2 linked regions of the Elephas maximus indicus genome follow. The protein of the gene in region 1 purifies or fractionates together with the protein of each later gene. This does not show direct contact. Links are inferred from orthologs where the notes say so. Each region holds a gene or a part of one and is shown on either strand. Other genes may lie near its edges.

Region 1 (11,180 bases):
ACCAGTGCTCCAAAAGGAAAGCCCAGTGGGCCTCCAAAACCGAAAAAAAAACATTGCCTTCAAGTCGATTCCAACTCATAGCAACCCTATAGGACTGAATAGAACTGCCTGGTGGATTCGAACTCCCGACCTTTTGGTTAGCAGCTGAGCTCTTAACCACTGTGCTGTCTCGAGGTGTGAGTTAAAGACATTCTCTCTTCAGTGCTCTCAGAGCTCCTGGTGGGGAAAGCTGAGGGGTGTCCCTCAGACCCACCAGTGCTCCCAAAGATGAGCAGCCTCCAGATGTGGGTTAAAGCCATTCTCCCTTCAATACTCTCAGAGCTCCTGATTCTCAAACCTGGGGGTCCCACTGAGCCCCCAGATCTGAGAGGAATAGAGGACCATGCTCCCAGAAGCAGCTCACACAGAGGACTGCCTGCCCTGTCCCAGGCCTGACCACCCCACAGACCAGCACCCTGCATGAGGCTGGGGCCAGTCCCCCAGGTACCAGGCATCCATCCACAGGCAGGGAAGGGGCCTCACTGATGAGGACTGGCCTCAGCACTGAGGAGCCAGAAAGTGATTCAGGGCCCAGACCTGTTATGGAGCCTTCTCCAGCTGATGGCTCCCAAGGGCCAGCTATTCAGAGGTGGAAACTCTGCACAGGGCTCCAGGCAGTGTGCAGTGGCCCTCAGGGCCCAGAGAGAACAGTTTCCCAGGACCACCTCCCTCCTAGGGCTGCAGGAGGCAGCAAAGAGTCCCAAGGCTCCCTTCATTAAACAAACCCGATGCTGTTGAGTCGATTCTGACTCATTGCGACCCTATAGGACAGAGCAGAACTGCCCCATAGGGTTTCCAAGGAGCAGCTGGTGGATTCGAACTGCTGACCTTCTGGTTAGCAGCTGAGCTCTTAACCACCACGCCACTAGGGCTTGCTTCATTAAACTGACAGTCCTCAGGTCTTGTGGGAACTCAATAAATATTTATCAGGTGATTGAAAGGGAAGAGTGGGTGTGGTCTGAGAAGTGCTCTCAGCACTTTGAAATTGTTAAGTTTGAGCAGGCAGGCACTTGCCACCACAAAGAACACTGAGAGGATCTTTCAGTGCTGGAACTTCCATTTCTCTGCTGCAATTCCGTATCCATTCACCCACTCCGAACCTCTTCTCCTCTAAGTTATTTGACCTATCACTAACAGCTATTTCTGAGGCCCGGCTCAAACATCTGCGTCATCTGTGGTTCTGTTCTGGCAATTGGTTGCTTCTCTTTATTACAGGTCATAGTCTTCTGTTTCTTTGTGTTATGTTATTTTTTAACGTAAGCTGGATGTTGTGTGTTAAAGAACAGTAGAGACTGGAGAAGAACAAAGGTATCTCCGCCTCCCAGGAAGGGCACACCTTTTCCTCCGCCGGGCAGTGATGCTGAGCAGCCGGTGGCGTCACTGAATCAGGGGTCAACCAGTCAGTTGCAGGTTTAAATAGTTTCTGGTCCCCTCTGGCTTCAGCTGTCTTGAAGGCTTTGGGATCCAAGCACAGAAAAGCAAGATCTCTTTGCCTCCACCCCTGTCCCCATTCCAGTTCAGAGTGATTTCCCATCAGCTTTCTCCCTCTCGCTTGCCCATATCTGGGGCCAGAATGGACTAACAGGTAAACACACAGATCTCACACCACTGGAGGCTTCCTCAAAGTCAAAGGCAGGTCAGAACAGGTGAGAGGAAGTGTGGGTGGGATTCATGTCCCCTACAGCCTGCAGACCCCTCAGGTGCCTGAGGAATGACCCCATACATACACTGAAGGAAATCACTTATGACCCCAAGAGCCTCATGTCACCCAAACACTCCACCCATGCAGGCCAAAGCCACGCTCACCTCGATGGGCCAGGTGAGTAGAGCCCCTCAGGGAACTGGACTCTATTATAATTGTATTTTACACATTTAGGACCAAGGTGGCCTCAAAGAGTGACTCCTGCAGGTCAGAAGACTGGGGAAATTTGGATTTCGGGGGCTGAAATACCAGATATACCAAGTGTTATGGTTCTGGCTTTTCAGAATCCAAACGGTTGTCTTAAACTGACATTTGCTGTTCCTGGGACTTGGAGATTAGGGTGCGGTGCTGCCTTTGGACCAGAAGGTCAATATGTGGGCCTCTGCCAACTTCAGGCCTTTGATTCCCATGGCCAGAAAATACACCACCCGGCAGAAAGGGCCAGTTTTTGGACTAGCCCCTGACTGCCTCTTCTCTGAGGGGATAGTCGCCCACAGCGCTATGGAACCCAAAGAATGATTGCTGGCGCCACCACGTCCAGGTGTTTGAACATCCACCCCTGAGACACCCAGCTTAGCTTGTCAAGCCAACACCGTTCCTGGACCAGGGTAAATATCAAGGGCAAAGCAAGAGCAAGGGAGCTTATAACCTTGAGTTTTGGGTACTGCTCCATCTTCGTGAAGATGCAGGCCAGGGTGGCTATCTTCTCTTAAAGTGTGCTGTCTGTGCCAGGCCGTTTTACCATGCACAGCACCTCAGAGTGCTCCAAGCCACTATGTCACATGGATAGTTAGCAGCAGAAACAGAACTGGAAGCTAAGCCGCCTATTCCAAGTCCAGTGCTGCTGCCGCACAGTGGGTGCTACCTCGGCTGATCTGTAGAGAACGCTGACTAGGGGCCCCAGACCCTGCTCCCACCATCAACATCCCATCCCATTCCACAGCAGGTCCTGTTGTCAACCTCGTTTTACATACAAGAACTTAATCACACAGGCACCAGACCTTCTTGTTGGAGAAAAGCAGCAAAGGCCTCTTCCCTTTCAAATGTTTATTTAAAACACACACACACACACACACACACACACATACACATATATATAATTATCCTTTATATATTTTTATATAAATATATTTTATATGTGCGGCATATATAATATAGTCGACATTTCTAATTTGGACGATTTCAGCTTTCACCAAAGACAAAGCTGTAAAAATGGCATGGAGCGGGGGTGGCATCTGACCTTCCCGAACTTCACAAGGGCTGGGGAGGAAATCAAGATCAACAGCCCCAGGCTGACTGCTATAAGGAAGAGGTCAGACATGTCTCTACCCTCCAACTTCTTTATCAATTCTGACACCAGCCGTCCCTCCCACGGCACTCTCTACTTCTCTGCTGGGTTTGATAATTTGTTGCAATGGCCACACAGAACTCACAGGTAATACTCACGACTGTGGGGCTATTTGGGAGGTAACAGGTGACAACTCAGGATCAGGAACACTCAGGACATAGTTCTCTGACCAGGACAGCCTCTTCTCAGCCATGCCCACAGACAGGCCTCTCTTTGGCCCTTGGCCCAGCCTCTGCCCTGCTCAGGCAGGTGTTAAGGAGCTCTTTAGATCCACCAGTAAGTACCGGGGTAATCCACTCTGCCAGGAAGCCTCCTGCCTGAAGGCACTCAGCTCTCTCCCTCAGCACAGCCACTGCAACTACCTTGCTCCATGGGCCAGGAAGCTCACTGTGCCATCTTGCACTGGTCTCCTGGTTCTGCTGCCACTGATTCTCGTCATCATGTGCCGTCTCTGGTGTTACAGCTCTTTCTGTCTCCTGGATCTAGGAGGTTCTCAGCACAAGGACTCTGGGTCCAAAGGACATGACCCATTCCTATCTCTTTTTCTTGGTGATAGTAAGGTCGCCCCTTTCTGCCTCTGGGATGGCTCATTTTAAGCCTAGTGGGATGGCAAAATTGACCAATACCCTCATTAGGGTTCCACACACCTTATGTGTATGGTCACACCCCCACAAGGGTGTCATGCACCTTACTTGCATTATTACCAAGCTATCCAATCCCCTAGGTGGGTCATCAACACCTTATTTGCCCAGTCCCACCCAGTCACTTGGTGGGAGTCCAAGACCAGGGCAAGAAAGGCCACATAAAAGTGGTCCATTGCATTGCAAAAGCCTTCCGTATTCTCACTGCAGGTTTGCTGGTATTTCTTCAGGATCATTACCTTTCTTTATACTTAAAGGACCAGCAGGAAATGCTACTAGAAATAATATTTTTCTCTGCTCCAAAAGCAGAGGAAAGGCTGCAGAAAGAATACTTTTCCACTGTATTATCACAGGCTATTGGATAAACTAAGGAGCCCTGGTGGAGCAGTGGTTAAGGGTTCAGCTACTGAACAAAAGGTCAGTGGTTCAAACCCACCAGCTGCTCTGTGGGAGGAAGATGTGGCAGTCTGCTTCCATAAAGTTCACAGCCTTGGAAACCCTATGGGGCAGTACTACTCTGTCCTATAGGGTCACTATGGGTTTGGTTTTGTTGTTTTTTTTTAGGGATGAGGCCAAGGGCTCTTCCCCCGTGATTGTAATGCAGTCATTTAATTAACCCACCTAACTAATTTGCACAAACTTCACTGACCTAATCCACTATGGGTGGATATCAGGTTGTTTCCAGGTTTCTGCTATTATAGATGACAATCACAAATACCCTTACAGGGTATATATGTACATAATTATTTCTGAAGACAATAGAGTGTTCTGTTTGCTTTTTAAAAAAAAACTTTACTAGCCAGGTGACCACAGCATAACTGCAGCTCCAGGACTGCCCATTCCGCCACCCCAACACACTAAGACCAAAAATCTAACAAAAACTGGCAGTCATCCAGTGCGGCCTCGGCTACTTGAGAAAGGGTCAACTGGGAGTTAAGAGTCCTATAAACCTAGGAAAGACGCTATCAAAAACAGAGGACCACCTTCTACTGGGAGCTACTCTTGAGGCTGTAACACTGAAATTGTTTCTATTTCCTGCTGTCTCACACTGCTATCTCAAAGTTCACACTTGTCCAACAACATTGAATGGATCCCCAAAAGGACTTCTTCAAACTCCCACAGACTCCTAACTATTCAAGGCATCTGCAAGTTCAGCAAATGTTTGTTTAAATGATGTTGCCAACTTGACAATAGCCTATATATCTGGATAAGCCATCTAACTGCCACTCCATTTCAGGGCCTGTCTTCAAGATCTAAATTGCACCAGTCACCAACCGAGGAAGTTTTGAAGGCAATGTTTCTCAAGTTGTGGTCTGTGGACATATTCTCAGGGTTCCCTGAGCATTTTTTCCCCCCGTAGGGTCGCTATGAGTCGGAATCGACTCAGTGGCAGCGGGTTTGGTTTTTTGGTTTTGGAAAAGGGGTTTATACAGCACTCAAGGTTGAAAACCACTGATTCAGAATGCCTCCACCCCAGCTACATGTAGGAGCCTGTCACTCTGCAGGTGGTGCGTCCTGAACAGCCTTGGTGGAAGGAAGAACAGTGCTCTGCTCTCCCGCACTGCACCCAGCCCAGACCCAGCACTTTGAAGAAATTAAGCCACAGTTCTGGACAGTACCAGGGCACTTCTGAGGGGTCAGTACCAGGATTTCCTGTCACACTTGGACCCTCTCCCAAAGGGTCTCACAAAAGCACTCAGAGAAAGGGCCACATAAACCAGACCCTATGTCAGCCTGAAACCAGAAGAACTAGATGGTGCCCAGCTACAACAGATTACTGCTCTGACAAGGAGCACAACAGAGAACCCCTGAGGGAGCAGGAGAGCAGTGGGACACAGACCCCAAATTCTTGTATAAAAGACCAGACTTAATGGTCTGACTGAGACTAGAAGGACCCTGGTGGTCACAGCCCCCAGACCTTCTCTTAGCCCAAGACAGAAACCATTCCCAAAGCCAACTCTTCAGGCAGGGATTGGACTGGACAACGGGATAGAAAATGATACTGGTGAAGAATGAGCTTCTTGGATCAAGTAGACATAAGACTACCTTGCCATCTCCTATCTGGAGGGGAGACAGGAGGGCAGAGTGGGTCAGAAACTGGCAGAATGGACAGGAAAAGACAGAATGGAGGGAAGGAGTGTGCTGTCTCATTACGGGGAGAACAATTAGGGGTAGACAGCAAGCTGTGTATACACTTTTGTATGACAGACTGACTTGATTTGTAAACTTGCACTTAAAGCACAATAAAAATTAAAAAAAAAAAAACTGAGAGAAAAAAAAGCTCTAGAGACCATCGAGTCCGACTCCATTCACAGGACAGATAGGAAAAGTGAGGCCCAGAGACGGGGAGTACCTTAAGCGAGATGATACAGCTAGTTAGCAGCAGAGACAGAACTAGAGGCTAAGCTGCTTATTTCAGGTCAGCGTCCCTAGCCCCCAGTGGCTGCCACCTGGCTGGTCTACAGAGAGCACTGACTGCGGGCCCCGTAGACGCCATTCCCATCATCAACACCCCCGTCCCATGTCTGCCCTCTCCGGGTCCCCAGTCTCCCTCTTATCCTCTCGCCCGGCTCTGCCTCAGACCTCAGCAGGCATTCCACAACCCTACTAATCCTGGCTGCCCCGGCCTACGTGCACCACGACCTGAAAAGGCTACAAGAACCGGAGCTGCTACTACGTTTCCCGGCCGCCGAAGCGGCGCCGAGGCGCATGCGCCACCCTACGTCGGCGTGCGTCAGTGACGTCACGAGAGGCGCCATCTCCGATCCCCGAGTGCGTCTGACTCTTGCTGCAGGTGGGAGCGTGTCAGTCTCTCGGTGACGCGTCCCGCGCAGCCCCGGCAGAAGGATCCTGTCCGCCGCAAACTTTGACGAGAGAGGCTTTGGGTGCCGACCGCTGCTGAAGAAAGTGGAGAGAGGAGTGAGCGGCGCCTGAGGGAGACGTCATCACAGCGCACCGGAAGAGATTCGAGAATGAAGAGTAAGCGGGGCTCGGGGCCACGAAATCGGAGAAGGGTGGGAATATAAAGGGTCGGGGACTTGGTGCTGGTAGGGAACATGGTTCTGGGCTACCTGTCGCTGCAGAGTCCGAACGGAGCTGCTACGGAAATTGTCCCACCTTACTTAGGAGAAACCGAGTCCCGGAGTGCGGGCTTGATGTCTGAGCTGGAGGCAGGTTCTCCAGGCGGGCTGCTCGTTGGTGTGTCATGCTGGTGGAGGCTCCAAAGCTTTGGTCAGACTTGGCCACCCCTCCTCTGGGTGACAGTAATCAACTACTTCCTCCTCTCTGTGGCCTGGTTTCGCCTTCGGTAAGGTACTGATGTTGATACCTGCCCAGCCTGCCGTGAACGATCCTTGTCAGGTGTAAAGCGCTGGGATCCTGCTGGGGAAGTATGTCACTAACCTAAGGCGTTGGGAATCCAGCAGAGGAGAGATGAGCGAAGGAGGAAAGAAGCACCCAAGGCGATTATAGGCAAATGAGTGTAGACACTGCTGAGGCTGGGCTTCGGGTCAGGATTTTGAGGTCCACCTCTCCCACTCCTACCTGTGTGATCAAGTTAAACCTGAACGTCAATTTTCTCATGGGCATAACATGCATAATAACTGCTTTAAAGGGTAGTTTGAAAATTAATGAAATAAAACTTGTAGCTTCTAATCAGGTGCTGGCAAGTAATGAGTGCTCAGTTACACTTTGTTGTGTATGATTGCAGAAAAGACTTTCAAGTCTCCTGCTAAACACTTGTGACAGGTAAAGCAAAGCTGATGATTCCTGGGGTCCCAGGCTCTACAAACAGGTTATAATCCCCATCTCCCATATGAGGGAGAACTAGACCCCGTATATAAAACCTGTAACCACCTTGGCCTGACCGTTCAAACATGAACCCAGGGAAGCACAAGGGAACAGGGATAGAATTTATAGAGTGTAGTGCAAACCAAGATGTCTAGTCATTTGGCCCTTAAGCCAAGCCTGTGTCTTGCTCTTACTCCATTCGCATCCATATTCTGCCTCCAATGCCACAGTTTTCTACTGAGACAAATGAGGTAAGAAACAGGAGCGTGGACATATTTAGAGGTTGAAACCACATTAATCAACATACACTTTGAGTTTAAAGAATGACTGTGTCATCAGTTCTAGGACACCATCAATTATATGACACATTGCAACTTCCTAGATGTTAAAATGTGAAAAACATTTTTTTTTAATCTTACAATCACCAAAAGATAGTACAGTCAGTTCTAATTATTCGAGGTAGTTATGTTCAATAAGGAAACCCTGGTGGCATAGTGGTTAAGACATATGGTTGCTAACCGAAAGGTCAGCAGTTTGAATCCACCAGGCGCTCCTTGGAAACTCTATGGGGCAATTCTACTCTGTCCTCTAGGGTCACTATGAATCAGAATCAACTCAACAGCAATGAGTTTTTTTTTTCTTTTAAATGTTCAATAAAGTCACCTCAAACCCTCAGTTAGGGAATGCTGAATCGTAGTTCCCAGGGGAGCTACGAGGCTAGGTTCCCGTAATCCTGTGGTCACATTTTGTCGGCTGATCAGTACCTAACTTTGTTTTATGTATGTTTCATTAACATTGAACTCATGGCCGGCAGCACGATAACTGTAATTCATGAACTATAACTCCCTGCGTGTCTGACACACGTATTTTCTCCATGGGGGACATCACACCCTCCTCGCACTTGGGAACACCTGACTGAACTTCAGCACTACACTTGGGGGCCAACAAAAACCACACGAATGTGAAACATGTGCCACTAAATAGATCATGAAAAGGATGCAGTATGAGAGCTAAAACAAGGAGGCAGAGTGTCGCTTTGTTCAACCACAGCTGGAGATGTGAGCCTCAGATGACTGAGATTTTTCGCTGCTCTTCACGTGTCCACAAATGACTGCAAAAGCACCACGAGTATTAATTTTGGGTTTACAAATAAATTTTAGCAAGTAGGTGAATTCACAAATACGGAATCCGTGAGTAACGAGGATTGACTGTGTTTCCACCCATCTGTGTCCTGGACAGCAATTTCCCGTGACTTAAATGAGTTACTTCAGTAGGCATATTGAGCAACTGCTCAAGCTTCTAACCTATGGTATTTTAAACCATGCCTCTCATAAAGCGTGGTCCCCTGACCTGCCGTAGCGTCTGGAAGCTTGTTAGAAATACAGGCTCTGGAGGAGGCGGAGCCAAGATGGCCTAATAGACAGACGCTTCCGTGGAGCCCTCTTTACAACAGAGACCCGAAAAAACAAGGGAAATGAGTATATTTGTCACAAGCTGGGAGCCCTGAGAATCAAAGGCAAGCTTAGACAACGAACCGAGGGGCAGGGGAAGGAAGAGACCATTCAGAAGCGGAGAGGAGTTCCGGGCCCTGAATCGCAGGGAGCCCTCAGGCACCATTCCTGGAGCAGCGGCGGCGGTAGGCTGGTCCTAGCATTCGGCCGTAGTTTCCATAGGGAGAAGCAGCCAGCTACACAGCCCCCTCACACCTCCTGAACCTGAGCAGAAGGGCGCTCTCGGCAAAAGCTAAGTACTTGCGTATATTTTACCATGCCCCCCGCGCCCCCAGGCCAGCTTCAGCAGCTGAATCCCTGGGCCTCAGATAGACCCTGGTGAACACCTGGAGCCGTCCTCCTGGCCTTGGGGAAGGAAAAAATTTCCAACTGGGGGGAAAAGAAAATTTGTTAGCTCCATTAATGGGGGGAGCTCAGGACAGAAGTGGCTCCTGCCCAGGCATAAACTGTGGACCTTGAGCACCTTTCTCTTCTGCATGGACCTGTGTGGGCCTATTTCGGGAAAATAGGCCCTTGTTGGCAAACTCCAACCATTTCATCGGTGCACTGGAGAGGTGGGTGTTTGACATTTGACATTGCTTTGGCTATTGAACAAGGTCCTCATCTACCCACAACAGGGACCTAAGGACTGCTGGCTCCACTTGGGTCACCCAGCCACCCACGACAGGGGCCCAGGGATAACTGGTACCTCCCAGTCCTTACAACAAAATCTTTGGGTGCCCGTGGTCCCTCTGCAGAGCCCACCCACCAGCACGCTCTAGGGAGCAGAGATGCGTATTCCTTAGAGACACTTGGGGGTCGGCTCTCAGCCCCTGCCTTGTTCAGAGCGTGACCTCCTGCTGCAATCAGATGCAGATATATACGCCAATCACCCCTGCCCCTCTAAGACTGTAGGACAGAGCCTGTACCACACACTTGATATCACCTACCTGGAAACCTGAGCTGAATTCATACAAGAAAACTGAATGGACTCCTAGACTGATATACCTGATAACAGCTCTAGCCAGCTGGGGACAGGACACCAGAGCTCCAAAGGCGAAAATAATCAAGCTAGCTCACTCAAGCAACCCATAGGGGTATACCAAAACAAAACAAAGCAAGCAGCTACGACACAGTAAGCAAGCATAAAGTAATACAATAACTTATAGATGGCTCGGAGACAACAGTCAATATCAAGTCACATAAAGAAACAGGCCAGGATCACCTCAACAGGCTTTCAAAAAATCCAACGATCTTTTAGATGAAAGGGCATTTCTGAAATTACCAGATGCAGAATACAAAAGTTTAATATACAGAACCCTTCAAGACATCAGGAAGGAAATGAGGCAATACACAGAACAAGCCAAGGAACACGCAGATAAAGCAATTGAAGAAATGAGAAAGATTATTCAGGAACATAATGAAAAGTTTAATAAGCTGGAAAAATCCATAGACAGACAGCAATCAGAAATTCAGAAGATTAACAATAAAATTACAGAATTAGATAACTCAGTAGAAAGTCAGAGGAGAAGAAATGAGCAAGTAGAAGATAGAATTTCTGAACTCGAAGATAAGTCACTTGGCACTAACGTATCTGAAGAAAAATCACATAAAAGAATTTTAAAAAATGAAGAACCCCTAAGAATCATGTGGGACTCTATCAAGAGAAATAACCTAAGAGTCATTGGAGTACCAGAACAGGAAGGGATAACAGAAAATACAGAGAAAATTGTTGAGGATTTGTTGGCAGAAAACTTCCCTGCTATCGTGAAAGATAAGAAGATATCTACCCAAGATGCTCATCGAACTCCACATAAGGTAGATGTTAAAAGAAAGTCACCAAGACATATTATAATCAAGCTTGCCAAAACCAAAGATAAGGACCCAATTATAAGAGCAGCGAGGAATGAAAGGAAAGTCACCTACAAGGGAGCGCCAATAAGAATTAAGCTCGGACTACTCGGCAGAAACCATGCAGGCAAGAAGGCAATGGGATGACATATTTAAAAAATTGAAGGAAAAAAATTGCCTGCCAAGAATCAAATATCCACCAAAACTGTCACTTAAATTTAAAGGTGAAATTAAGACATTTCCAGATAAACACAAGTTGAGGAATTCGTAAAAATCAAACCAAAACTACAAGAAATACTAAAGGGAGTTCTTTGGTTAGA
Region 2 (11,747 bases), on another chromosome or scaffold:
AAGACAGCCAAGCTCATCGTTGACTTTTTAACATCTGTGCACAACACAGACAACAAGAAGAAGCTAGACTGAGCCCCTGACTGCAGCCTGCATTCCGCACACACACCCGCTCCCATCTGCAAAATCTGATGTGGCCACCACTTCTCAGGGTTCCTGCCCCAAATGCAGTCGGAGCACCAGCATCCCTGAAGAAGCTAGACTCCTCTCCCTGGTCCCTACAGTTCCGCAGATCTTCAGGGGCCTGAGGAAATCTCCAAGATGTTCTTCACAAATGGAAAATCATATGGAACAAAAAAAGAAAACTTAGCCATAAAAATCTACCAAGAAGTCTTCAAGTTCTTGTCATGGGAAAGCTTACACAAAGCAGCCACCTTGGGCCACAATCCCTGAGGATACTTTCTTTCCAACATCCTTTACGGACTGATAACCTGATGTATTTGTTGCTTCAGTGCTCCCCTGCCTGTCAGTGACTGTTCTAGAAGCATTAGTGCGTGTTCATTGAGCCCCTACTGTTTATGTCTGATTTCAGCTTTACACAGAGACTCATAATGAACGCAGCCCGTCAGCTGCAGGACCAGGGGGAAATGGCCATGCTCAGAGCTGCTGGAGCAGTGGAGACCACAGGTGGTTGATGTGTTCGACACCCACGCATCCAGTGTGTCACCAGTGCAGCTGGAGCAGTCACGCAGTATGAAGCACACTGGATGGGGGAGTTTCCTGGAATAATTTATCATTTTTCAAAATAGGACTAATAAAGCAATAAGGTTCTAGACATCTATCTAAAAATCAAATTGGGGTTCTACACACAAGTAGCTCATGGGCCTCTTTTCTATTTTGTTGTGCTACTGAAAGCCCTTGGATATAAAATACTAGCTTGTTTATGAATTCTGTGAATTCTGTGAACAGTAACGTGATTGAAAATAAGTCCCAACAGCTGTAGAAGTGACCACAATGACATGGAATAAATTTGCTCAGTCTAGATCAGCTACAAGCAGATGGTTTCTATATGGAAGCTCCTCATTGAGTGCAGCGGTGGCAGATTTGCTCTTAATGTTAAAATGTGTTTTTTAAAGTAAGGCTAGATCTCCAGGCAGTGGAAGTCTTGGCTTGGATGATTTATGAGTTTCCTTTTAAGAAATCACATTTGCAGTTTTTATTCAGTTGAAAATGCATACAAAAGCAAAGGTCAGCCACTCCTCAAGTCCACCTTGCAGCCAAAGATTAGACAGGTCTCTGAAACAGAGTAACACGTCAGGAACATGCTTCAGAGAACGATCAGGTGTACGAGGTCAAATGGGCAACTCCTGGCCAAAGGCAAAGATGAGAAAACAGGAAGGGGCAGGAAAATCAGAAAAATGGAAATGGGGACTTCAGGGTGGAGAGGGGAAGAGTGCTGACACATTGTGGGGATTGCAGCCAAGGTCGAAACAACTTGTGTATAAATTACTGAATGGGAAACTAATTTGCTCTGTAAACTTTCACCTAAAAGCACAATAAAATGTTAAAAAAAAAAAAAACACAAAACAAAGGGCAAGAGTCACCCAACTGTTCCTTATGACCATCTTCTGCTGCATTTAGTTACCGTTTCTGCCCTAACAGCCCCAGGAGCTTAATTCCTTCAAATCCTGTTACAGAGAGGCTACAGCCAAGTAGTTCTGGAAACAGAGCGAGAAGAACTTTATCATTTAAAAAGGAATTCTGGGCTTAATCTGAATATTTTAATTTATAAGAGTGGAACACAGATCTTAAAAAACAAAAAGATGAAAACATATCAGAGTTGCAAGATACAGCTAAAGCAGTGCTCAGAGGGAAATTTATAGCCTAAATACATAGACTAGAAAAGAAGAAAGGCTCAAAGTCGATCTTTTAAGTTTCCATCTCAAGAAGTAGGAAATCAAACCTAAAGGAAATAGAAGGATATAATATAGGTAAGTGCAGAAATCAATGAAAGAGAAAAGAAAGTCAATACCAGGCTTGTTTCACCCTTCTATATTCACAGGAAGTCTGAGGTGAGTGAGGTTCTGGTAGAGGTGGTCCATCTTGGTGGGTATGAGTGGTGAGAGATGGTCTCCTCAGGACCACTGAAAGAGCTGCAGACTAGTATAAGTACTGCAAACCAGAAACCCTGCTATGGGGAAAGTTATTATGTTCTGGGTTGGATAACAGCCAAGGAGCACATCAGGAGGCCTTCCCTTGCCCCCACAGAGGGACCATTCAGGCAGGGTGTGTGCTGTCCACCCAGCTGTGGAAGTCAGTGGGCAGATCTGCAGCAGGATATAGCTCCCATCTCCTCTGCTATTACCAGAAAACACTGACTGGAGTTATGAGCAGAGAATATGGAAGAGTCATCTTGGGGTAAGCCTTAAAGTGGGTTTTCAAGGTTCTCCCTTGGCTCTGCAGTTCCAGCTCCACTGTGAGAGGAAGACTGGAAAGCAGAAAAGGACAGCTCCCCCTTGCTCCCCATTTCCTGCCTTTGTGATTATGACCAGCTTGCTGGTTACTGCCAGCTAGCTGCCCCCTGCCAACACACACACCCCACTGGGCCCTATGGTGTGTGCCTTTAATGATAGTCTTAGGCTTCATCCCTCCCTGAAAGACTTCCAGGAGATTCCCAAATAACAATGCAAAGCCCCAGGAATCACGACTGGGTTCTTGATCTCATTGCCTGGAGTTGGGCCTCCTAGGAGGGTGGACTCACCTGGACAGGTATTGAAGAGGCCAAGGGACAAGCAGTGGTCAGAACTCAATTTGCCATCAGTCTGGACTTGTTGTCCAAGACAGAGGTGACACCAGGAATGACAGCTGCCCTGTTCAGCAGTGCTGCCTGGGCTGTAAGTCTATGCTTTCCACTTGAGCCCCGGTGAGTATTTCCCATCCCAGGGAACCTTACATGTTGGTTGCCTGGTGCAAGTTCCCAGAAAATTCTGGGATTGGAATGCATGTCAGGCCAGGATGGAGAACTGAATCACACAACTGTGTGCCAGGTGCTATTCTGTGTTTTCCATGCATCACCTCACCAAGCTGTCTCCCAGCCCTAGGAGGTAAGGCCAACCCTGTGCCCATTTTACAGCCATGGAAACCAAGGCATGGAGAGGTGAAGTATCTTGCCCAAGATCACACAGCTGACAAGTAGAGGGAAGCTTCTCTCTTTATAATTGACATACAAAAACAGTACTTTCACCAGTTCAGGTAGGCACCCTCCTGCCCATCTTACCCGTTGAGCCTGAAGCACTGTCAGCAGGACAGACAGCCCTCCAGGATCACCTGGCTCAGGCTGGTGTGCAGCAGCTTTAGCCTAACATCACCAAGGCCATGCCTCTTGGCTTGGGCTCCTGCTGGGGAAGGCAATCCAGTCATTCATTCTGCAAATAATTAAGGACATCCCATGCCCAGGCAGGAAACAGCTCACCTGGATTCCAGCATCATCCTAAGGGTGCACCAGGGGACAGCCTGCCTTCCTCTTTCCAGCCTCTCATCAATCAGGACTGGTGTGGCTTGTTCCCCTCACTGATACCCCTACACACACACACCCACACCCACACCCACACCCCCCCCCCCCCGCACACACACACCCCATGCTCTGGAAATTACAATCCGCACTGTTTGTCCAAAGCAGTTTCCCTGGGGAGAAGTCTCAGCTGGGTCTCATTGCCCGTCAGGAGGCCAAGTGTGAAAAGCACGCTTGGAGACACGTGGCCTTTGAAGAGAAAGGTCAACAGCCTGGACTCTTACCAGCCAAGTGCATACCCACTGCCTTTAGGCAAATTTGGGGGTTTAATTAAACATAAATGCCAGACTTAGGCCCCCTTATATACTTCCCAAGCCCTAAATACCGATCTCAAGATAATCATGGACTGGTTAGTTAATAACATCTTTCTAAAATGATGAATGCAGATTTTAACATCCACAGTGAAGTGTGTTCTGCTTTGGGGGACCTCCTTGTATTAGGCTGAGAAGCCTTTTATTAAAAGTGGCAACTCAGTGGGTCTGTTTCAGAAATGGGCTTGCTGAAAGACGCTTTGGTCAGATTTGGGAGTTTTGTTTTTTCTTCCATTCTCTTGGTCTCTTTCCATTTTTGTTTGTCTCTGTTTTGTCTGTCTCTCATGCCACACTCAGGCACCCTACCCCCTAACAACGGGAACGCTGGCTCTACCAACGCATCATCTTTTATCTCTTCCAGTGCCACTCCTGTGACCACACAGCCTGGATTTTCCCATCAGCCTCCCCTCCAACCCAGATTGGATGCTGCTCTCAAAACCTCTCAATTCCCTTCAGTGAGGCAGATACAAAAGTTTGGTTTTTTTCGGGGTGGGGGGTGAGAATATAGCCACAAATGGGGCAGTGGAGATGTCATAAACTACCTGCCAGAGTCAAACCCAAAGGGGAGAGTTCTGGGGCTCCTGTTTTGGTATACCTAGCTGCCCCAGAGGTCTGGGGCCTGGAGTCGCCATTCTCCAGACTGGAAACACCCAGAATGTGGATCTGGGGTGTCCGTGCCAGCAATAGGACAAGGTTTTTGCCTAGTCAGGGAAAAGAGCATGGCTGACTGACTGCTCAGCTCTCCTTTCAGGAACAGGACGGTTCTCTTCCCTTGGCTCCTAAAGGGAAATTTCCTTAATTGGTTTCTGAATCTTTGGCCTCTAAACCCTGCAAGCAATGAATGGGAACCATAGTCCACACCTAGGAGGCCTCTGAGCTCCCGCAGGGAGTGGGATGAGAAGGAAGTATTCTTAGGGGCAGAAAGTGGCACCTAGGTGATAGTCTCAATGACCCCGAGGTCAAGGCTGGCTGGGGGGTGGGTAACTGTCGCTGAGAACAACTGGAGAGACAACTGCCAAATGTTAACTTTGAATAGAGGTCCCAAAACCCTCAGGACCAGATGTGACTCAGAATTCAGAAATCTTCCAGTTTTAGGAAGGTATTATGGTATGTGTACCATATATTATGTAACACCCCCAGTGGGGTCTGGGGCAGCCTTACATGATCAAATGCATTCATTTTTCTGCTGTGCAATGTATGACTATCCACAGTAAGTAGGACAAACACTATAAAAAGTCTCCCTCAGTTCAGGTTGAGTACTGACGTCAAATGAAGACAGCTTTGGCTTCCAGGCTTTTTTGGATTTCAGACTTGCAGATAAGAGGTGATAAGCCTGTGTTCACAGTTGCCTCCCTCATTCTGCGTCCTGATGAAGAGTGCTTCTTGCCAGTGGAAGGAAGGGCATGCAGAGGGGTGGCCCAGAGTGCCCTCTTGTGACAGTAAGGGGCAGGTCCTTATTTTTATTTCACATTATTTTATTAAAATGATGCCCTCAGACAGAGTAGCAGGGGCGGGGGTCTGGGGACCATGGTTTCGGGGGACTTCTAGGTCAACTGGCATAACAAAGTTCATTAAGAAAATATTCTGCATCCCACTTGGCGTCCGGGGTCTTAAAAGTTAGCTAGCAGCCATCTAAGATGCATCAACTGGTCCCAATCCACCTGGAGCAAAGGAAAATGAAGAACACCAAAGACATAAGGAAAATATGAGCCCAAGAAAGAGAAGGGCCACATAAACCAGAGACTCCATCAACCTGAGACCAAAAGAACTAGATGGTGCCTGGCTACCACCAATGACCGCCCTGACAGGGTACACAACAGAGAGTCCCTGACAGAGCAGGAGAAAAGTGGGGTGCAGAACTCAAATTCACGTAAAAAGACCGAACTTAATGGTCTGATTGAGACTGGAGGGACCCTGGAAGACATGGTCCCCAGACTCTGTTAGCCCAGAACTGAAACCATTCCTGAAGCCAACTCTTCTGACAAAGATTATACTGCACTATAAGACATAAAATGATACTCATGAGGAGAGTGCTTCTTAGCTCAAGTAGATACAGGAGACTAAATGGGCAGCTCCTGTCCAGAGATGAGATAAGAAGGCAGAGGGGGTTGAATGGACATGGGAAATGCGGGGTGGAAAGGAAGAGTGTGCTGTCACATTATAGGGAGAGCAACTAGGCTCACGTAAGAATGTCTGTATAAATCTTTGTAATAGAAACTAACTTGAAACCTGTAAACTTTCACTGAAAGGACAGTGAAAAAAAAAAGATGGCTTTACCTTAAATCAGTGCCTGGTGGCGCAGTGGCTACGAATTTGGCTACTAATCCAACCCCCGGTCCTTGGAAACTCTATTGGACTAGTTCTACTTTGTCATATAGGGTCGCTATAACTCGGAATCGACTCGATGGATACGGGTTTTCTAGGGACTCTAACTCAAAGGACAGCCTGCTTTTCAGAGTTTCATATTTGGAGATGCAGCTCAGGGTTGCCTCAAACGAGCAGCTCCCAGCTAGAGGGATGGAATAGAGCGTTTGCGCTCACTGCTTTCCCCGCGATGGGCACCAGGGGGCGCTGAGCTCGGCCGTCCCAACGCCTCATGAGAACTTATGCCGGGGTCCTTAGGGTGACGTCACGATGACGTCACATCCGTGCCGGGACGTCTCGCATCCGGGGGAAGGGACAGAGGAAAGCAAATGTAAACACGCCCGGAGTTTCCTCGGCCCCGGCTCTGTGTTCTGCGTGGGCACCCCGAGCTGTGGCAGATTTTCGCAGCGAACAGGAAGCGTCCGGGGAGGCGCCAGGCGAGGCCAGGCAGACGGAGAGCGGGTGGGCGGAAGCCCCGAGGGCCAGCGGCCAAACCACGGGAGCGGCTCAGTCGGCCGCGCTGCTGACGCCTGGTCGCGCGCGCCAGGTGCGCACGCGCTGGGCGGGAGCCACGGGCCGGGCTGGTGGGCGGTGCGGGGCCGCCGCAGGTCCCGACTTGTCCCCTTCGGCGGACACCGCGGGGAGGTGGCCGGGAGGATCGAGCAGGAGCGCGTGTGCAGAGCACGCTGCCTGCACCTGGCACGAGGTCGGCGCTAAATCAGTGCGTTAGTCGAAAAAAGTACGGGATCGGGTGGTTAGTTTTTTTTTTCTTAATAGCTGGTTTATCCAAAAACTGTGTGTTGAACGCTTTTTGTTGTGTACGACGCACGGTTTTAGGTTCTTGGGAGACAGGAGTGAACAAGACAGGAAGCTCTTTATCTTTTCTGGAGCGTAGTTTTTGGGGCAGGGAAGGGGAGTACAAATAAAGAGGAGGTGAATTACACGATTGTGTTAGATGGCGGTAAGTACCGTGAGGAAAGAAGAATAGAGCAAGGACAGGGACAGGGGGTGCTCGCGGTATTAGGATGGCCACTCGGTCAAATTGAGGAGTGAGGTTTGAGCAAACCTGTGAAGGAGACGAGGGCATGAGCCATGTGACACCTGGAAGGAGAGCATTTCCGGCCCAGGGAAGAGCTAGAGCCGAAACCTAGAGGAGCTGGAGACCGGTGTGGCGGGAGGGAGCGAGCAAGGGGGAGAACGACAGAAAGTGAGGTCCGAGCCGGGGGAGCAGCGTGCAGTTCAGGTGGGGCCTTGTTGGTCTCTGTAAGGAGTGTGGCCTTATTTATTCAGAGTGAAGCGGCAACCAGTGCAAGGTTTTGAGCAGAGGAATGAGTGGTGTGAGTAAGTTTTGTTAGAATCGTTTCTGGCTGCTGTAGGGAATAGATTGGGGAGAACAGGAGTGAGGCGAGGCCACGTATTAGGAATAGATAAGTTCAAGAGCATCCCTGCGGTCATTAAAAAGGCTGACTTCTAAAGATGGGGATGGCAGTCACTATAGGAGCGCTTACTTTTCCTGGTTAGTGTGGTGGATATGCCAGGCTCTATGGCGCACTTCCCAGGCATTGTCTCATTTAATCTCAGGACAGTCCTCAGAGGGCCGTGCTGTCACTGAGCCTGAGGACCAAGGCTTATGGAGAAGTGACTGCTCAGTGAACGTTTACTCTTTAAGTTCTACCTATGCTTATCCCTGCCACCGGCATCCATCTCCATCAGCACAGTCATTAACGCTTTAACAATACAAGAAAAAAAAATTTTTTTTTTTCTGTTATGTGCCAAGCAATGAATGAGACAGGTGAGGTTCTTTTTTCCCTGCTCATCTAGTCAGGGGAGGCTGTAGTGACTGGGAAAGCAAAGCACTAGGCAACTATTGCTGTTGTCCTGAAACCAAAGACTTAACCTGAACGCATAGGCCTACCACTACCACCATTCACTGGTTTAGTCAGTTGACAGGTGTTTGTTAAATACTGCTTCTGTGCTAGGCATCGTGAATATTAGTGTTTGTGGAATAGATGGGTGGATGTAGCGCTTTGATCCTGACTTTTCATTTTTCTCTGGAGCTCATTATCAGGGCGCGGTTGCACCTGGGCCTGACCTGGAGGGGTTTTTGTGCCTGCTACTCCATAGTGGGGAAACCTTGGTGGCGTATCGGTTAAGTGCTACTGCTGCTAACCAAAGGGTCGGCAGTTCAAATCTGCCAGGCGCTCCTTGGAGACTCTGTGGGGCAGTTCTACTCTGTCCTATAGGGTCGCTGTAAATCGGAATTGACTCGACGGCACTGGGTTTGGTTTGGTTTTGGTTTAGTCCATAGTGGTGTGACCAAGGAGAAGGCACTTGGTTGACCTCAGTTTCCTGGTCTACAAAGTAGCAGTGTCAGGCTGGATGATCACTAAGGGTGCTTCTAGTCTTTGCTGTTTGATATGGTCCGGTTTTATTAATTTGGAGTAAAGGCCTAGAACAGGTCTTGGGAAGAACCAGGGTACTGTCCATTTCTTTCACTCAAACCAAAAAAAAAAAAAAAAATCTGTTCTCATAGCGACTCTATAGGACAGAGTAGAACTGCCACATATGGCTTCCAAGGAGCGCCTGGTGGGTTCGAACTGCCCGCCTTTTGGTTAGCAGCTGTAGCTGTTAACCACTACACCACCAGGGGTTCCTTGCATCGCTCAGCAAACGTTTACTGAGGATCTGGTGGTGCTGGTGAAACATCAGTGAAGAAGAGAAGGCCTCCCTGAAGAGGTGACACGTAAGTCAAAACCAAAAGGATTAGTAAGAGCTGTCCAGGTGGAGAGTGAGGTGGGAGTAGAGCCAAGAAGAGGAATTCTCTCCAGGTGAACCAGCATGTCTAAGTCCTTGAAGATTCCAGATTCATTAGAAATGGCATTGAGTTCCCATTCCAGGAATCCCTTCTCAAACCCCTTTCACTGGCCTGCCAAATAGTCCTGCACAGACTGGCCTGGGACAAGCAGACTAAAAAAACAGGCAGACCGAGGATGGGCAGGGACAGCAGAACTGCCACCCCTCATTCTCCTCTTCATGTTCTGTGTTGGCTGGGAGTAACAAGAGGGCCTTAAGAGCCCTGGTTTTACTTGCTTGGGCTTTTTACTTTGATTAAGAGACATCATATCAGAGTGATCCTGAGGGGACTCAGGAATGGTTGGAACCTCGGCGCCCTTGGGCAAGTGTTACCTAAGCCTTAGTTTTCTTTTCTCGAAATGAGGGTTATAATAGCATTTACCTTGTAGGATCATTTTGAAGAGAAATGAGGTAAGCATTTAGCACAGAGCTGAGTGCTCAGTAAAAAAAAAAAAAAAAAACAGGAAGGGTGTTATTAGGGTTTAAGAGTATGGTGGTCTGGCTTGTGTGAAATATGGAGACTTCGTTAATGTCTGTATGTATAACCTTAATTTGACCAGAATTAGAAGAGCTACTGTACTAGGAGGTGTTTTAAAAACATAGGTCAAGTTCTTGTTAAAATCAAAAACCCATTGCCATCAAGTTGATTCTAACTCATTGTGACCCTATAGGACAGAGTAGAACTGTCCCGTAGGGTTTCCAAGGAGCGGCTGGTGAATTCAAACAGCAGACCTTTTGGTTAGCTGCTGAGCTCTTAACCATTGCACCACCAGTGCTCCAAATTCTCATTAAAAATGTGAAAATAGCTCATACCTTGATAATTTCTAGTCCTTTTGACTCTTACTGTAGGTGTGATCAGCAATGGAAAGGATACCAGCATCACCTGCCACATATGAAAGAATAGTTTACAAAAATCCCTCTGAGCACCACTACATGAAAGTCCGCCTGTAAGTTCAGTCCCCCAAGTTCTGTTTTAGATTGCTTTGTTGAGTCTGAAGATCGTGAAATCTAATCGTATGTATTTTTTTCTTTTTTTTTTTCCACAGAGAATTTCAGGAACATGGGATTGGACTGAATGCTGCACAGTTCAAACAGTTGCTTATTTTGGCTTTGAAGGACCTGTTCGGGGAGGTATGGAATGACTTTGTAGATTGACCATTCCTAAGGTCTTTGTGCGTAGTGGCTAAGTGCTACGGCTGCTAACCAAAAGGTCAGCAGTTTGAATCCACCAGGCGCTCCTTGGGAACTCTATGGGGTAGTTCTACTCTGTTCTCTAGGGTCGCTGAGTCGGAATCGACTCAATGGCAGTGGGTTTTAAGGTCTTTGTAAGAAATACAGAAAGAACTCTTCAAAACTTTATTTAAAAACAGTATTTGGAATACAGAAGCCGACTTTCAGAAAGGGTGCGTTTTTGGTAGACTTGTTCTAATATGCTTTCTATTTAGACAGGAGCTTGTTAGGCAAGTGCTCATTCCAGCACAGTGCTACTCAAAGTGTCATCCAGACTAGCAAGGCACAAACCGTTCTCTTCCCCTCATGAGGGGCTTGCACCGCTTCCTTTTGAAAGAAAGTCATCTTAGGAAAAGGCTGGACTAAGCAGGGTGCTTGCTTCGTGATGTTGTTGGTTGACATTCTGGTACAAGATCCTTGTCATAGACAAGCACTTTGAGGAGTATCGTTCTAGCATTCCCTTGAAAACAGAAGTGGAGTTTTAGAAGTCTAGACAGAGAACGATGAAGAATTCTCTGGAAATTCACACATTTCGTCAGATATGCTGAGCACCTCATCAAAATTTTTACTCTGCGAAAGATTGTTAAACAGATGAAAAGTTGAATTACAGACTGGGAGAAAATATTTGCAGGTCACACATTTGACAGATGACTAATATGTAGAATATAGGAGGAACCCTTAAAACCCAACAATGAAAAACCAAACAGTCAATTAGAAAATGGGCAAAAGACACGAACAGACGTTTCACCAAAGAGGATATATAGACGGCAAGTAAATACATGAGGTGTTCACCATCACCAGCCACTAGAGAAGTGCAGACTGCAGCAGTGAGCTGTCACTGTGCATTTGCCAGAATGGCTGAGCTGAAAGTAGTGAGAGCAGCATGTCTTGGGAGCCTGTGGAGGCACGGGGTCCTCACATGTTGCTGCTGGCCCAGTCGCCCTGGGACACAGTTTGGCAGTTTCTGTTATTAAAAAAAAGCTAAACATGCGACTACCTTACAACCCAGCAATTATACTCTTGGGTATTTAACCCAGAGAAGTGAAAACTTAGGTTCACAAAAAACCTGTATACAAACGTTCGTAGCAGCTTTACTTATAGTAGCCAAAACCTGGAATCACCCCACATGTCCTTCAGTGGGTAATGGTTGAGCAAACTGGTACATCCATACCTTGGAATATTCACTTACCAGTGAAAGGAGTGAACTGTTGATACACACAACAGCCTGCGCGAATCTCCAGGGAATTATGCTGAGTGAGAAAAGCCAGTGCCAAAAGATGAAACACTGCACGATGCTGTTTATGTAACAGTCTTGAAATAGCATGATTTTTAGAATCTGCAGAATAGGTCAGTGGTAGCCAGGGCTGAGGGATGGGAGAAGGGGTGGGCGTGACTATAAAGGGGTAGGATGAGGGAGCCGTGTGACGGTACTGCGCTTTATCTTGATTGTGGTAGTAGTTAACATGAAACTGCGTATGTGA

Evidence for each region.
Region 2: the proteins of POP4 (region 1) and RPP14 purify together in Homo sapiens (affinity purification with mass spectrometry; 3 studies listed by BioGRID and IntAct, counting the BioPlex papers as one, with this or other methods). This does not show direct contact. The link is inferred for Elephas maximus indicus from reciprocal best matches to the Homo sapiens genes POP4 and RPP14.

What each region holds. Positions count from the first base shown.
Region 1 is NC_064839.1:11,352,563-11,363,742, forward strand, and holds the start of POP4 (ribonuclease P protein subunit p29), read left to right. Parts: upstream 1-6,475; 5' UTR 6,476-6,702; coding exon 6,703-6,709; intron 6,710-11,180. UniProt on the Homo sapiens protein: Component of ribonuclease P, a ribonucleoprotein complex that generates mature tRNA molecules by cleaving their 5'-ends.
Region 2 is NC_064838.1:62,909,806-62,921,552, forward strand, and holds the start of RPP14 (ribonuclease P protein subunit p14), read left to right. Parts: upstream 1-6,495; 5' UTR 6,496-6,730; intron 6,731-6,736; exon of another isoform or gene 6,737-6,922; intron 6,923-6,928; exon of another isoform or gene 6,929-8,926; intron 8,927-9,885; 5' UTR 9,886-9,897; coding exon 9,898-9,983; intron 9,984-10,082; coding exon 10,083-10,167; intron 10,168-11,747. Other genes in the region: monoacylglycerol lipase ABHD6, read left to right, coding at 1-72. UniProt on the Homo sapiens protein: Component of ribonuclease P, a ribonucleoprotein complex that generates mature tRNA molecules by cleaving their 5'-ends.